Linked DNA regions of Macaca fascicularis. The protein of the gene in region 1 interacts with the protein of each later gene in a biochemical or structural test. Links are inferred from orthologs where the notes say so. Each region holds a gene or a part of one and is shown in the gene's direction. Other genes may lie near its edges. The genes, in order: CLTC, OCRL and ARRB2.

The links.
Region 2: the proteins of CLTC (region 1) and OCRL form a complex in vitro, tested with the Homo sapiens proteins (2 studies listed by BioGRID and IntAct, with this or other methods). The link is inferred for Macaca fascicularis from reciprocal best matches to the Homo sapiens genes CLTC and OCRL.
Region 3: the proteins of CLTC (region 1) and ARRB2 form a complex in vitro, tested with the Homo sapiens proteins (3 studies listed by BioGRID and IntAct, with this or other methods). The link is inferred for Macaca fascicularis from reciprocal best matches to the Homo sapiens genes CLTC and ARRB2.

The regions. Positions count from the first base shown.
Region 1 is NC_088390.1:47,042,413-47,046,063, reverse strand, and holds part of CLTC (clathrin heavy chain 1), read left to right. Parts: intron 1-336; coding exon 337-459; intron 460-1,665; coding exon 1,666-1,803; intron 1,804-2,044; coding exon 2,045-2,209; intron 2,210-2,361; coding exon 2,362-2,542; intron 2,543-3,651. UniProt on the Homo sapiens protein: Clathrin is the major protein of the polyhedral coat of coated pits and vesicles. Two different adapter protein complexes link the clathrin lattice either to the plasma membrane or to the trans-Golgi network.
Region 2 is NC_088395.1:135,811,758-135,815,508, forward strand, and holds the start of OCRL (inositol polyphosphate 5-phosphatase OCRL), read left to right. Parts: upstream 1-1,425; 5' UTR 1,426-1,617; coding exon 1,618-1,656; intron 1,657-1,766; exon of another isoform or gene 1,767-1,915; coding exon 1,916-1,995; intron 1,996-3,751. UniProt on the Homo sapiens protein: Catalyzes the hydrolysis of the 5-position phosphate of phosphatidylinositol 4,5-bisphosphate (PtdIns(4,5)P2) and phosphatidylinositol-3,4,5-bisphosphate (PtdIns(3,4,5)P3), with the greatest catalytic activity towards PtdIns(4,5)P2.
Region 3 is NC_088390.1:4,804,900-4,808,650, forward strand, and holds the start of ARRB2 (beta-arrestin-2), read left to right. Parts: upstream 1-1,250; 5' UTR 1,251-1,273; coding exon 1,274-1,407; intron 1,408-3,751. UniProt on the Homo sapiens protein: Functions in regulating agonist-mediated G-protein coupled receptor (GPCR) signaling by mediating both receptor desensitization and resensitization processes.

The DNA.
Region 1 (3,651 bases):
AGCTACTCAGGAAGCCAAGGTGGGAGGATTACTTGAGCCCAGGGGGCAGAGGTTTCAGTGAACCGAGATTGCACCTCTGCACTCCAGCTTGGATGACAAAGCAAGACCCTGTCTCAAAAAAAAAAAGAAGAAGAAAATGGATAAGCCAGTTATAAAAATTGACAGGTGTTTATTCAAATATGTCATCATCAGGGTCTAACTGGGCACTTTAAATCGAAAATGAATTTGTGCTTTCACAAGTAGTTCTATATTAGCAAGATTTTATAGTAGAAAAAGTCTTTAAATGCTATGAAATTGAAACTTAGAAGCAGCGTTTAAGTCTTTGTTTGTTTATAGGTTGGATACACTCCAGATTGGATATTTCTGCTGAGAAATGTAATGCGAATCAGTCCAGATCAGGGACAGCAGTTTGCCCAAATGTTAGTTCAAGATGAAGAGCCTCTTGCTGACATCACACAGGTAATGTGATTACAATATATTTTGTAGAAGCTGATTGAAATGGAGAGTGGGGGCCAGCCGTGGTGGTTCACGCTTGTAGTCCCAGTACTTTGGGAGACCAAGGTGGGAGGATTGCTTGAGGCCAAGAATTCAAGACCAGTCTGGGCAACATGTGAGACCCTGTAACTACAAAAAATTAAAAAATCAGCTGGGTGTGGTGGCACATGCCTGTTGTCCTAGCTACTCAGGTGGCTGAAGTGGAGGGACAGCTTGAGCCTGGAGGTCCAGTTTGCAGTGAGCTGTGATCATGCCATTGCACTCCAACCTGGGCAACAGAGTGAGACTCTCTTAAAAAGAAAAAAAAAAAAAAAAGAAACTTAGAGTTTGTAGAAATTAAAGCTTTGTCACTCTATATGGATAAACCTCAAATGCCTTGCAAAAAAAAGCAAGTTGCAAAAGAATGGATAATATGAAACCATCTGCATGTAGTTTTAATACATGCAAAACAAACATCTTATTTAGAGATATATATGTATTAAAAATATGAAAAATACATGGGGATGATAAAACAGGATAGTAGTTGCCACTGGGTATGGGGAGAGGGAAGAGATGCATTTGGAAGTGTGAGTCAGAGTCCTTCATATTGTTTATGCTGTTGTTTTTCAAAAGTTTATAAAAATAAAGGTCAGTCTGGGCATGGTGGCTCACGCCTGTAATCCCAGCACTTTGGGAGGCTGAGGTGGGCAGATCACCTGAGGTCAGGAGTTTGAGACCAGCCTAGCCAATATAGCAAAACCCTGTCTCTACTAAAAATAACAAATTATCCAGGTGTGGTGGCAGATGCTTGTAATGCCAGCTGCTTGGGAGCAGAGGCAGGAGAATCGCTTGAACCTGGGAGGCGGAGGTTGCAGTGAGCTGGGATCGTGCCATTGCACTCCAGCCTGGGCAACAAGAGCAAAACTCCGCCTCAAAAAAATAAAATAAAATAATAAAATAAAGGTCTATTGGTTCAATTGTATTCTGCTATTATGTAATATCTTGAAATATTTTGTAGTTTTTATCAGAACTGAAAATAACTGTGTTCTCTAGAGGACAAAAATTTGTTCTTAAAGTGTTCATATTGTCCAAATAAAATTCTCAGGTAAAGAAAGAGCTCGTGCATAATTTTGTCTACATACTCTCCATAGTATCTTAAAACAATTTCTTTTAAATCTATTTTTTTTGTAGATTGTAGATGTCTTTATGGAATACAATCTAATTCAGCAATGTACTGCATTCTTGCTTGATGCTCTGAAGAATAATCGCCCATCTGAAGGTCCTTTACAGACGCGGTTACTTGAGATGAACCTTATGCATGCGCCTCAAGTATGTGTTTTAATGCTTTTTAGGCATGTTTCCAACATTGTTTTAGTAGTTGTGCAGAGCATCTCAGATTGTCATGCAAAGCTACTGAGATGCCTACTCCTTATACAAGAAAATTTAGCTATTATAATATTCTTTTGTACTTTCTTTAACAGTTCACTATTAAACCTTAATCTGTAATGGATGTTGAATTACTCATATAAATGGAGTGGACAATTAACTTTCCTTGTTTGTGGTTTTACAGGTTGCAGATGCTATTCTAGGCAATCAGATGTTCACACATTATGACCGGGCTCACATTGCTCAACTGTGTGAAAAGGCTGGCCTACTGCAGCGTGCATTAGAACACTTCACTGATTTATATGATATAAAACGTGCAGTGGTTCACACCCATCTTCTTAACCCTGAGGTATTTCAGTTTCTTACCTGATAGATGGTGTTAGTTGTGATTAATAGGTACACTGAAAATGTGTTTGTGGTACTAAATATTAATGATTTCATACCACCATGAGGTTCAACGTTATTTCATTTATTCATTCATTCATTTATTTTGTCTTGTAGTGGTTAGTCAACTACTTTGGTTCCTTATCAGTAGAAGACTCCCTAGAATGTCTCAGAGCCATGCTGTCTGCCAACATTCGTCAGAATCTGCAGATCTGTGTTCAAGTGGCTTCTAAATATCATGAACAACTGTCAACTCAGTCTCTGATTGAACTTTTTGAATCTTTCAAGAGTTTTGAAGGTAAGTAGGAGTTTTTGAGTTTTTTTAAAAAGTACTTAAGATAGCCAAGAAGAGGTATGCTTATGATCAGGCTATTGGAAATTTTGTCTTTCTTTCTTTTTTTTTTTTTTTTTTTTGAGACAGAGTCTCGCTCTGTTGCCCAGGCTGGAGTGCAGTGGCCGGATCTCGGCTCACTGCAACCTCTGCTTCCCGGGTTTACGCCATTCTCCTGCCTCAGCCTCCCGAGTAGCTGGGACTACAGGCACCTGCCACCTCGCCTGGCTAGTTTTTTTTGTATTTTTTTAGTAGAGACAGGGTTTCACCATATTAGCCAGGATGGTCTCGATCTCCTGACCTCGTGATCTGCCCGTCTCGGCCTCCCAAAGTGCTGGGATTACAGGCTTGAGCCACCGTGCCTGGCCTGGAAATCTTGTCTTTCTAAAAATTTGTTCTATGGGACATTTTAATTTTTATTCAATAAATGTTGTCAAGGCCCTTTTATGTTGGATCCTAAGGATATGCAGTGAACAAGACCATCTGTTTGGATATTTTATAGATGAATGAAAGGTAGAATTTTAAGAGAAAAATATGTAGTGGTGTTGAAATTGTATAAAATGAAAATACAGGTTGAGTGTCCCTAATCTGAAAATCCAAAATGCACCAAAGCCTGAAACTTTTTGAACACCAACATAATGCTCAAAGGAAATGCTTGTTGGAGCGTTTCAGAAATTGGATTTTCAGATTAGGGATGCTGATCAGGTAATTATAAAGCGAATATTCCAAAGTTGAAAATTTGAAACATGTCTGGTCTCAAGTATTTTGGATAGGGGATACTCAATCTGTACTAATGATCGGGTATAATAACATTTTATGCTTATATGTCTGACTCTTACAATAGCAGGTGATTCTCGCCAAGGGCATTTTGTGATTTGTTGCTATTTAGCAGAATTTCTTAACCTTAGTACTATAGACATTTAAGGCTGGATAATCATTGTAGAGGGGTATTCCTGTAGATGTAGAATATTTAGTAGAATATTTAGCAGCATTCCTGGTTTCTACCCACTAGATGCCAGTAGCGTCAGCTCCACCAGTTGTGACAACCAAAAATGTCTTCAGACATTGCCAGTGTC
Region 2 (3,751 bases), on another chromosome or scaffold:
ACTGTGCAGGCCAGTTTGTCTTTTAACTTGTTTATATTGTCTTGAAGTACACACATTTTGAAATTTTATTTAGCTAAATGTCTTATTCTCATTCCATATTCCAAGCTCATAAAGATACTCAGCTTTTTTCTGAGAGTTATAAAGTTTTGCTTTTCACATTTAGATCTTTAATCCACCTAGAATTGATTTTTCTTCCATGGTTAGAGGTAGGGGTCTAATTTTATAGTTTTCCATATGGATAAGCAGTAGTCCTACTACCACTTAGTGGATAATCCATTATTTCCCCACTGATTTGAAATGTCCCACACGCTGCATATCAACCTTCCATATATGTGTGGTCTGTTTGGGGGCTTTATATTGTGTTTCATTGATTGTCTATCTCCATAGTATACTTTTAATTACTACAGACTTACAGTCAGTCTTGATATTTAGTGTATTATATATTCTGGAACAAATGAATAACACAATCGAAAAATTACTTTGGGAAAAATATTGTTATGGTTGTCAACAGAGTAAACAGGTCAAAGGACAGAGTAAACCCAATAGGATTTATTTAAAGAAAAATGCAATAACCCAGATAGGCTATCACAAGGGCTTACAATAAAGTTATGGCAGTGCGAATGGAAAGAAAATAAGGAATCTAAAAGTAATTCCATGTAAAATATTAACAGGGTTTGTTGACTGATTGGATATAGAGATTAGGAGGGGGAAGACAATATATGGCTTTTAAGTGAAATGATAATGAGTTAGTTTTGTGACGTAGTGATGTATTAACAATGGACTCTATTAGGTAACAGGTCTGGGCCAGGGATATATATTTGGACATTGTCTAGTTAGAGGTGACCTGGAGGGGATGCAGAGGAGGAGCAAAGGTCTGGGCTTTGGGGAATTCTCTGATATAGGGCATAGAAGAAAGAAGAGGAAGGGAAATGGTAGGATAACCAACACAGAGCATTATAACCTTAAGAAATATATATATATAATATTACATATATAATATATATTATATTATATATAATATTACATATATTATATATTATATTATATATAATATTACATATATAATATATATTATATTATATATAATATTACATATATAATATATATTATGTATAATATATATTATATAATATACAAATTTTATATATTTTATATATATATTGTTTCATATATGGATGATGTGGGTCGTATTGACACAACAGGTTTGAGATCCCCCATAGGTGTGACTGTGTTTTGTTTCTGTGGCCATCTTCAAAGTCCTCAGAACAATTTTGATGTCACAGGTGGCATTTAAACCCCATTCCTTGCTGGACGTAGTAGGGACGCCCCCAGTCCGTCGGGTCTCTCGCTGCAGTTCCGCAGGTTGGCCGCAGGGAGCGGAATCTGCGGCGGCCTGGAAAACTGGCGGGGGCGCGAGGCGCCGCTCTCTCTCGGGTCAGATTCTCAGCTCCCAGCTCCCCGCTACCGGCTCCCGGCTCCCGGCGCCCGGCGCCCGGCGCGGAGCGGTTCCTCAAACGACACGCAGCCGAGGTGGGTGGGTGGGTGTGGGGACTCGGGAGCCACTGTCGTCGGATCCGCCCGCAGTCCGCTGTCCCGCCGAGCCCGGAGGCCGCCTGGATGGAGCCGCCGCTCCCGGTCGGAGCCCAGCCCCTTGCCGTATCCGCCGGAGAGAAGGGGGAGGGGAGACCGCGCAGGGCCGCGGGTGGGGGTCGGGGGCCCTGCGGAACACGGCGGGGCGGGGCAACCGGGTGGCCCAGAGGCCAAGCAGAGTGGGGGAGGGGGCCGGCGCGGGAGGCGAAGCCGGGCGGGGCGGGTGAGGGCGGCCGGGGCGGGGGGTGGAAGACCCCCTTCGCCCCGCAGTGCACCACTCCTCCCCACCGCGCTTCCAAAGGAGACCCTTGACTAGCGCCCGCATACTGTCGAGGGTATGGAGATGAAGGGTCCTCTCCGGGAGCCCTGCGCCCTGACCCTAGCCCAGAGGAACGGGCAATATGAGTAAGTAACCACCTGATTCCCACAGAGGAGGTGAGCCTGCCATTACCTCCCAACCCCAAACCGCGACGGGTCACCCACTGTCCTCCTACTAAGGCCACACGGGCAACAGGTTCAGGTCCAGGTGTGAAGTGCCAGTGCTCTCTAACCTCGGGGCTTTGTCCTCAACTTCCAAGCCTCTGGATCTTGCTTGGCAGTGTGGCTCAGTGGAAGGACTGAATGGGCGGGGAAGCAGGAAGCCTGGGTTCTTAGTTCCTGCCCCTGCAACTGACATGTGTTGTGTAACGTTGGGCAAGTCAATAAAGCTTTCTGGGCCAAAGTTAACTCTTCAGTTTAATAAAACCATTAACTGCCTTACCTTATAGCCTTTGGAGTTATAAGTGGGGGAAAAATAAATGCGAGAGTGGTTTACAAAACGTAAAAATGCTATGGAAATGCCTCATTGTTCACGTTACAGACTTGTCTTAACCCTATTCAGCTGGTTTCTCCAGTCTCCCTACCCCCTTATCCCACTTGTTTGAAGGCATATTCATTAATTCAGTAATGGTTTAGTGTAGGCCAGAAACTGCCTCACTTACTGATTTGACTGTTAGAAAATGTAATGAAATGTGTAGAGATAGAAATAACAGTATTTTATCAGTGTGTCACCTTCCTCTCTGCCTTAGACATAGGAACTCAGTAAATACTGTTGAATGATTGATCAAAAGATTATTTTGATAAGCTATCACCATAGCTGCTAACCTCTATTGTCACTAATGCCTCATCTCAAAAGTATCCATGGTGACCTTTACATATCATAGGTCCCTATCCCTGTGTGCCCAAGACACCTCCCTTGGATATTCACTGGCTTCTTGGCATAATATTCCTTCCCAGTTTAAAAATTGTTCACTTAAATCTTGCCATCTCCCAACATTGGGTTCTGCCTAAAACCAATTTCCTCAGTCCCCACTTTTAGATCCTCTGTGTCTATGCTGTCTGATTTACATGGAAGAAATCCCCACTGGCCCAACCTGCTCTTTTCTGAGACTATTGGTGCCACTGTAACTGGATGTCAGCTAGTTCTATGAAGTAGCTCCTTCCTAGGTCCTGCTTAGTCAGCTCTATTGGGAAGTTCATCAAACCCAGATTTCATCCAACCCTGGAAGACTAGTTTAATGAAACTAAATTCAGAATTTAATAAAACTAAATTCAGCAGAAAAGTGGAACACCACTAACATTTCCAAAGGCTAGAGTGGGTTAGAGAGAGGTGACCCTTGAGCAAACCAGTAAAACTTCTGTGCCTTGGTTTCCTCTAATGTAAAAACAAAAATCTGAAGATTGAATAGAATAGCTACATTACTGAGATGACCACAGCCCAGAAGGTGGTCCCTCGGATTAGTAGATTTGGAACTCTGTTGAGCTAATAAGGAAGTCTTGTGTTCCAATTCTGTGTAAGTTATGGGGGTATAGTTGGGGGTATATGTGGGGGTATGGGGTTGCTATATAACTAACACTAATATATAAATAACACTATAAAACTAACAACTATATAACTAACAACTAATATAGTTGTTGCTATATTAACAGTTTATAAACTATATAGTTTTAAATATATATAAACTATAGTTTATATATAAACTAACAACTGATACAGTTGTTGCTATATAACTAACACTCAATGACTGCTTATGTGCCAGGTACTGTTCTAAGCACTTTTCATTAGTTAGTTCATTTAATCCACGTGCGAGGGATAAAATAGTAATATCATTATCCCCCTTTT
Region 3 (3,751 bases), about 42 Mb from region 1:
TGTCTCTATTAAAAATATGAAAAGTAGCTAGGCATTGTGGCAGGCGCCTGTAATCCCAGCTACTCGGGAGGCTGAGCAGAGAAGTGCTTGAACCTGGGAGGCGGAGGTTGCAGTGAGCCGAGATCGCGCCACTGCACTCCAGCCGGGGCAACAGAGCGAGACTCTATCTCAAAAAAAAGAAAACGAAAAAAAACTTCTGCACATCCTTCAGAAAGACTGTCCTCATATGTTCTCCGCTCCACCCCCGCCCGGGCCGAGCGCTGTTAGTGGCTGTGTCTTCTGACTCAGACCTCTGTAATAGCATTCCTGGGTAATACCTGTGTATGTGTCTCCTCAACTATTCTAGGAAGTCAGGGGCCATGGTAATTCATATGTGTCCCCATCGATTGGCATAGTAAATAGCATAAAATAGGCACGGATGGGTGGGTCGATAGATGGACCGATGGGTGCGAGCGAGTGAGTGAGTGGATGTTAGCTGGGATGGGTGGGTGAAGGAGATGGAGAGTCAGAGACATTGGAAAAGGGAACCCTGCGAAAATCAAATGTAGACACCAGGAGGAGCTGACACGCTGCGGTGAAGAAGCGGGAGGGCTGGCCACAGAAGGCGGTACGCTCCGCGTGGAGCAGGTGAGCTGCGCGCACTGAAGCAAGTATCACGCAATTGAACTGCTCACCCACGTGTTCCCCCCCACCATCCTCCTTCCCAGACGGCGCTTCAGCTCATTCCACCGCCCCCAACAGCCCGGTCGCCCCCACCGCCACTGAGAAAGCAAACAAAGGGGAGGAGACCCCTAAAGGTTCTGGATGCCGAGGGCCAATCGAAAGACTTAGATCCCCTGGAAGGCGGGAGCCTTGGTTTAGGGGGGCCCAATCGGTTTCAAGGGGTTGCGGCGGGGCGGGGAGATGGGCGGGAAGAGCGGGAGCGGGCCCCGCGCGCGGGGGAGGGCTCCCCGGCTGGGACGGAACGCGAAGGGTTGGGGGCGGAGCCAATGGCCCTGTGTGTCTGCTAGGAGAGGGCGGGCAGCGCCGCGGCGCGCGCGATCCGGCTGACGCATCTGGCCCCGGTTCCCCCAGACCAGAGCCGGGCCGGGAGGGAGGGGGAAGAGGCGAGAGCGCGGAGGGCGCGCGTGCGCATTGGCGCGGGGAGGAGCAGGGATCTTGGCAGCGGGCGAGGAGGCTGCGAGCGAGCCGCGAACCGAGCGGGCGGCGGGCGCGCGCACCATGGGGGAGAAACCCGGGACCAGGTAAGGGAGGTGGGGCCACGCGGCGGGGCATGGGCGGCGGCTCGGGGCGGGGGCTGGGACGGTCCCAGACGAGGACGCCGCGGAGAGGATCTGGGGGCCGGACGCCTGGGTCCCTAGGGACAGCCATCCGGGGCCGCACGCGCAGGTCCTCGAGGATAATGAGGTTGGGGGGAAATGCCCGGGCCCCTGCAGAAAGCGAGGCCGGAGGGGGATCAGAAAAACCGGTGTCGGGGTTCTCTCAGGGATGTGGGGCCAGACTACTGGGCTCTCCCGTGCCCAGGAGTCTGGGCAGGCTGCGATGCAGGGACGGAGGGAGGAGCAGGTGGCTGGCCCCGAGGGGTCGTGTACGGGGAGGCTGGATGCTGGGAGGGGGATCCCCTCCAGACTCGTGCCAAGCCAATGCAAAGCCTCCTGTCCAATATCCCCCAGGTAGTCGCGCTGCCCACACCTGTCCCGAGGGCCGGGTGGCTCCTCATCCAAACTTCTACCTTCCCCTGGGTTGCCAGGAGCAACAACAGCTTCATCTTGGGAGAGCCTGACCCTTCCTGAAACTAGATCGGATCCCTCTCCCTGGGGGTGGGGGAGGCAGTATTCACGCTGGGCGCGCGTCCACTCCCCGGATGTTTTCTGTGCAATCGAGGCTCTTTCCTTCCACTGATACCCCGAGTTCTCTTTTTTGGTCTCTAGCAAAATCCACTTCCTGTTGTGACTCAACACCCCCAAGGGGTAAGGGGTGAATGCCTGAGTCCCAGGGGAGCAGGAGCAAAAGACAGAAAGGTTGGGGCTGTAGGCCTCAACCCAGAGGGGATCGGGAATAGGGAATTGGTCCTGAGCTCTGGCTTGCTCTGCAAAGCATCATATCGACCCCACTTCCAACCTATAGAGTAGGAGAACCCAGGTTTCTGAGCGTCAAGTAGATGAGTATCAGAAAGAGATCATCAGAGAGATGATCGGTGTCCTGGATTAGGGTTTAAACATCCCAGAGAAAGGGGAAGTTGCTGCCTTGTGGGAGGCCCCTGATTTCCGTTATGTGGTTCAAGGAGTGGGACAGATGGACCAAAGGGGACTGCTGACTTGACCCAATTTCCCTCACCTCCATCAAATTCTGGGCCACAGGAAATGGAGAGAATAGCAGGAAGTGTGAAAGGACATCTGCTTCAGCTACCCCTGCCCCCATTGGGCACCTCCCTGGTCATCCCCACACTCTGCCTCCTTGGCCAGCCTAGTATCTGCACGCTGCTCCTCCTCAGCCTGGCAGGAGGTGGCTGGGTTAGGATCCAAAGGGCAGGTGCCTTGCAGCTGCTCCAGGGCAGTTGCCCCAGAGCCACACTGCAGTTGGCCCACTGACTGTGGCTGTCACAGCCCTGTGCCAGGGCTCCTAATGGGAGGACACCCTGGGACAAAGAGGAAAACCAGAAGCAAAGGGGAGGGAGAGCCTGGATGATGCCACAGCACTCAGCCCCCAAGTTGGGACAAAAGATAGGATGTTTATTCTAGCTGCCACCGTATCGATGTTTATTCTCTTTTATTGGTTAGGAATACCTGGGAGCCTCCATACCCTTTACCTTATAATCTTTGGACAGCTTGGCTTTCTGGGAAGAAGGGACAAGTGAAGTTGTAGCAGAAACTGGGCCTATGGTAGAAACCATTTAGGGCCAAAGGCCAGAGTCATTGCTCTCCTATATGCTCCAGCTGTCAGAGCTGTAGACCAGATGGAAAGATGGTTAAGTCTTACCCAGATACTGCGGCAACCTGCCCATTGGGGTCCTCTGGGAATGGGGTGGTAGAGTTGGAGGAGGGATGGGCTAGTTGGCAGGATTTCACGTTCTGCTGTCTATCTGAGGATCCTTTCCAGGGATCACTGCTGAGGCAGAGTGGATTGGAAGGAGTAAGGTGATGCTTCAAAGAATAGGCTCACAATTGGCCAGATCACTGGGATTGCCAAACACTTCCTTACCCTCCCAGCAGTGGGTGGAGTCCAGGCTTAAATTGTTTCAGCAACTGGAAAGCGAATACCCTTCAATTGAACAAACTATTGATGCCAGCTACAGAGACGGATAGTGTAATATTGATTGAGAGGATGGACTCGGAGCCAGACCGCCTTGGTTTCTATTAATTCCCACCATTTACTCTCTCTGTGACCTTAAAACACTTAACCTCTCTCTGCCTCAGTTTCCTCACCTGGAAAATAGAGACATTAGGACCTCCATCACTGGGTAGTTTTATTTTATTTTATTTTTTATTTATTTATTTATTTGAAATGGAGTCTTGCTCTGTCACCCAGGCTGGAGTGCAGTGACGCAATCTTGGCTCACTGCAACCTAAGGCCGGGCGTGGTGGCTCACGCCTGTAATCCCAGCACTTTGGGAGGCTGAGGCGGGTGCATCACCTGAGGTCAGGAGTTGGAGATCAGCCTGGCCAACTTGGGGAAACCTTGTCTCTACTAAAAAACTACAAAATACAGGCCAGACGCCGTGGCTCAAGCCCGTAATCCCAGCCCTTTGGGA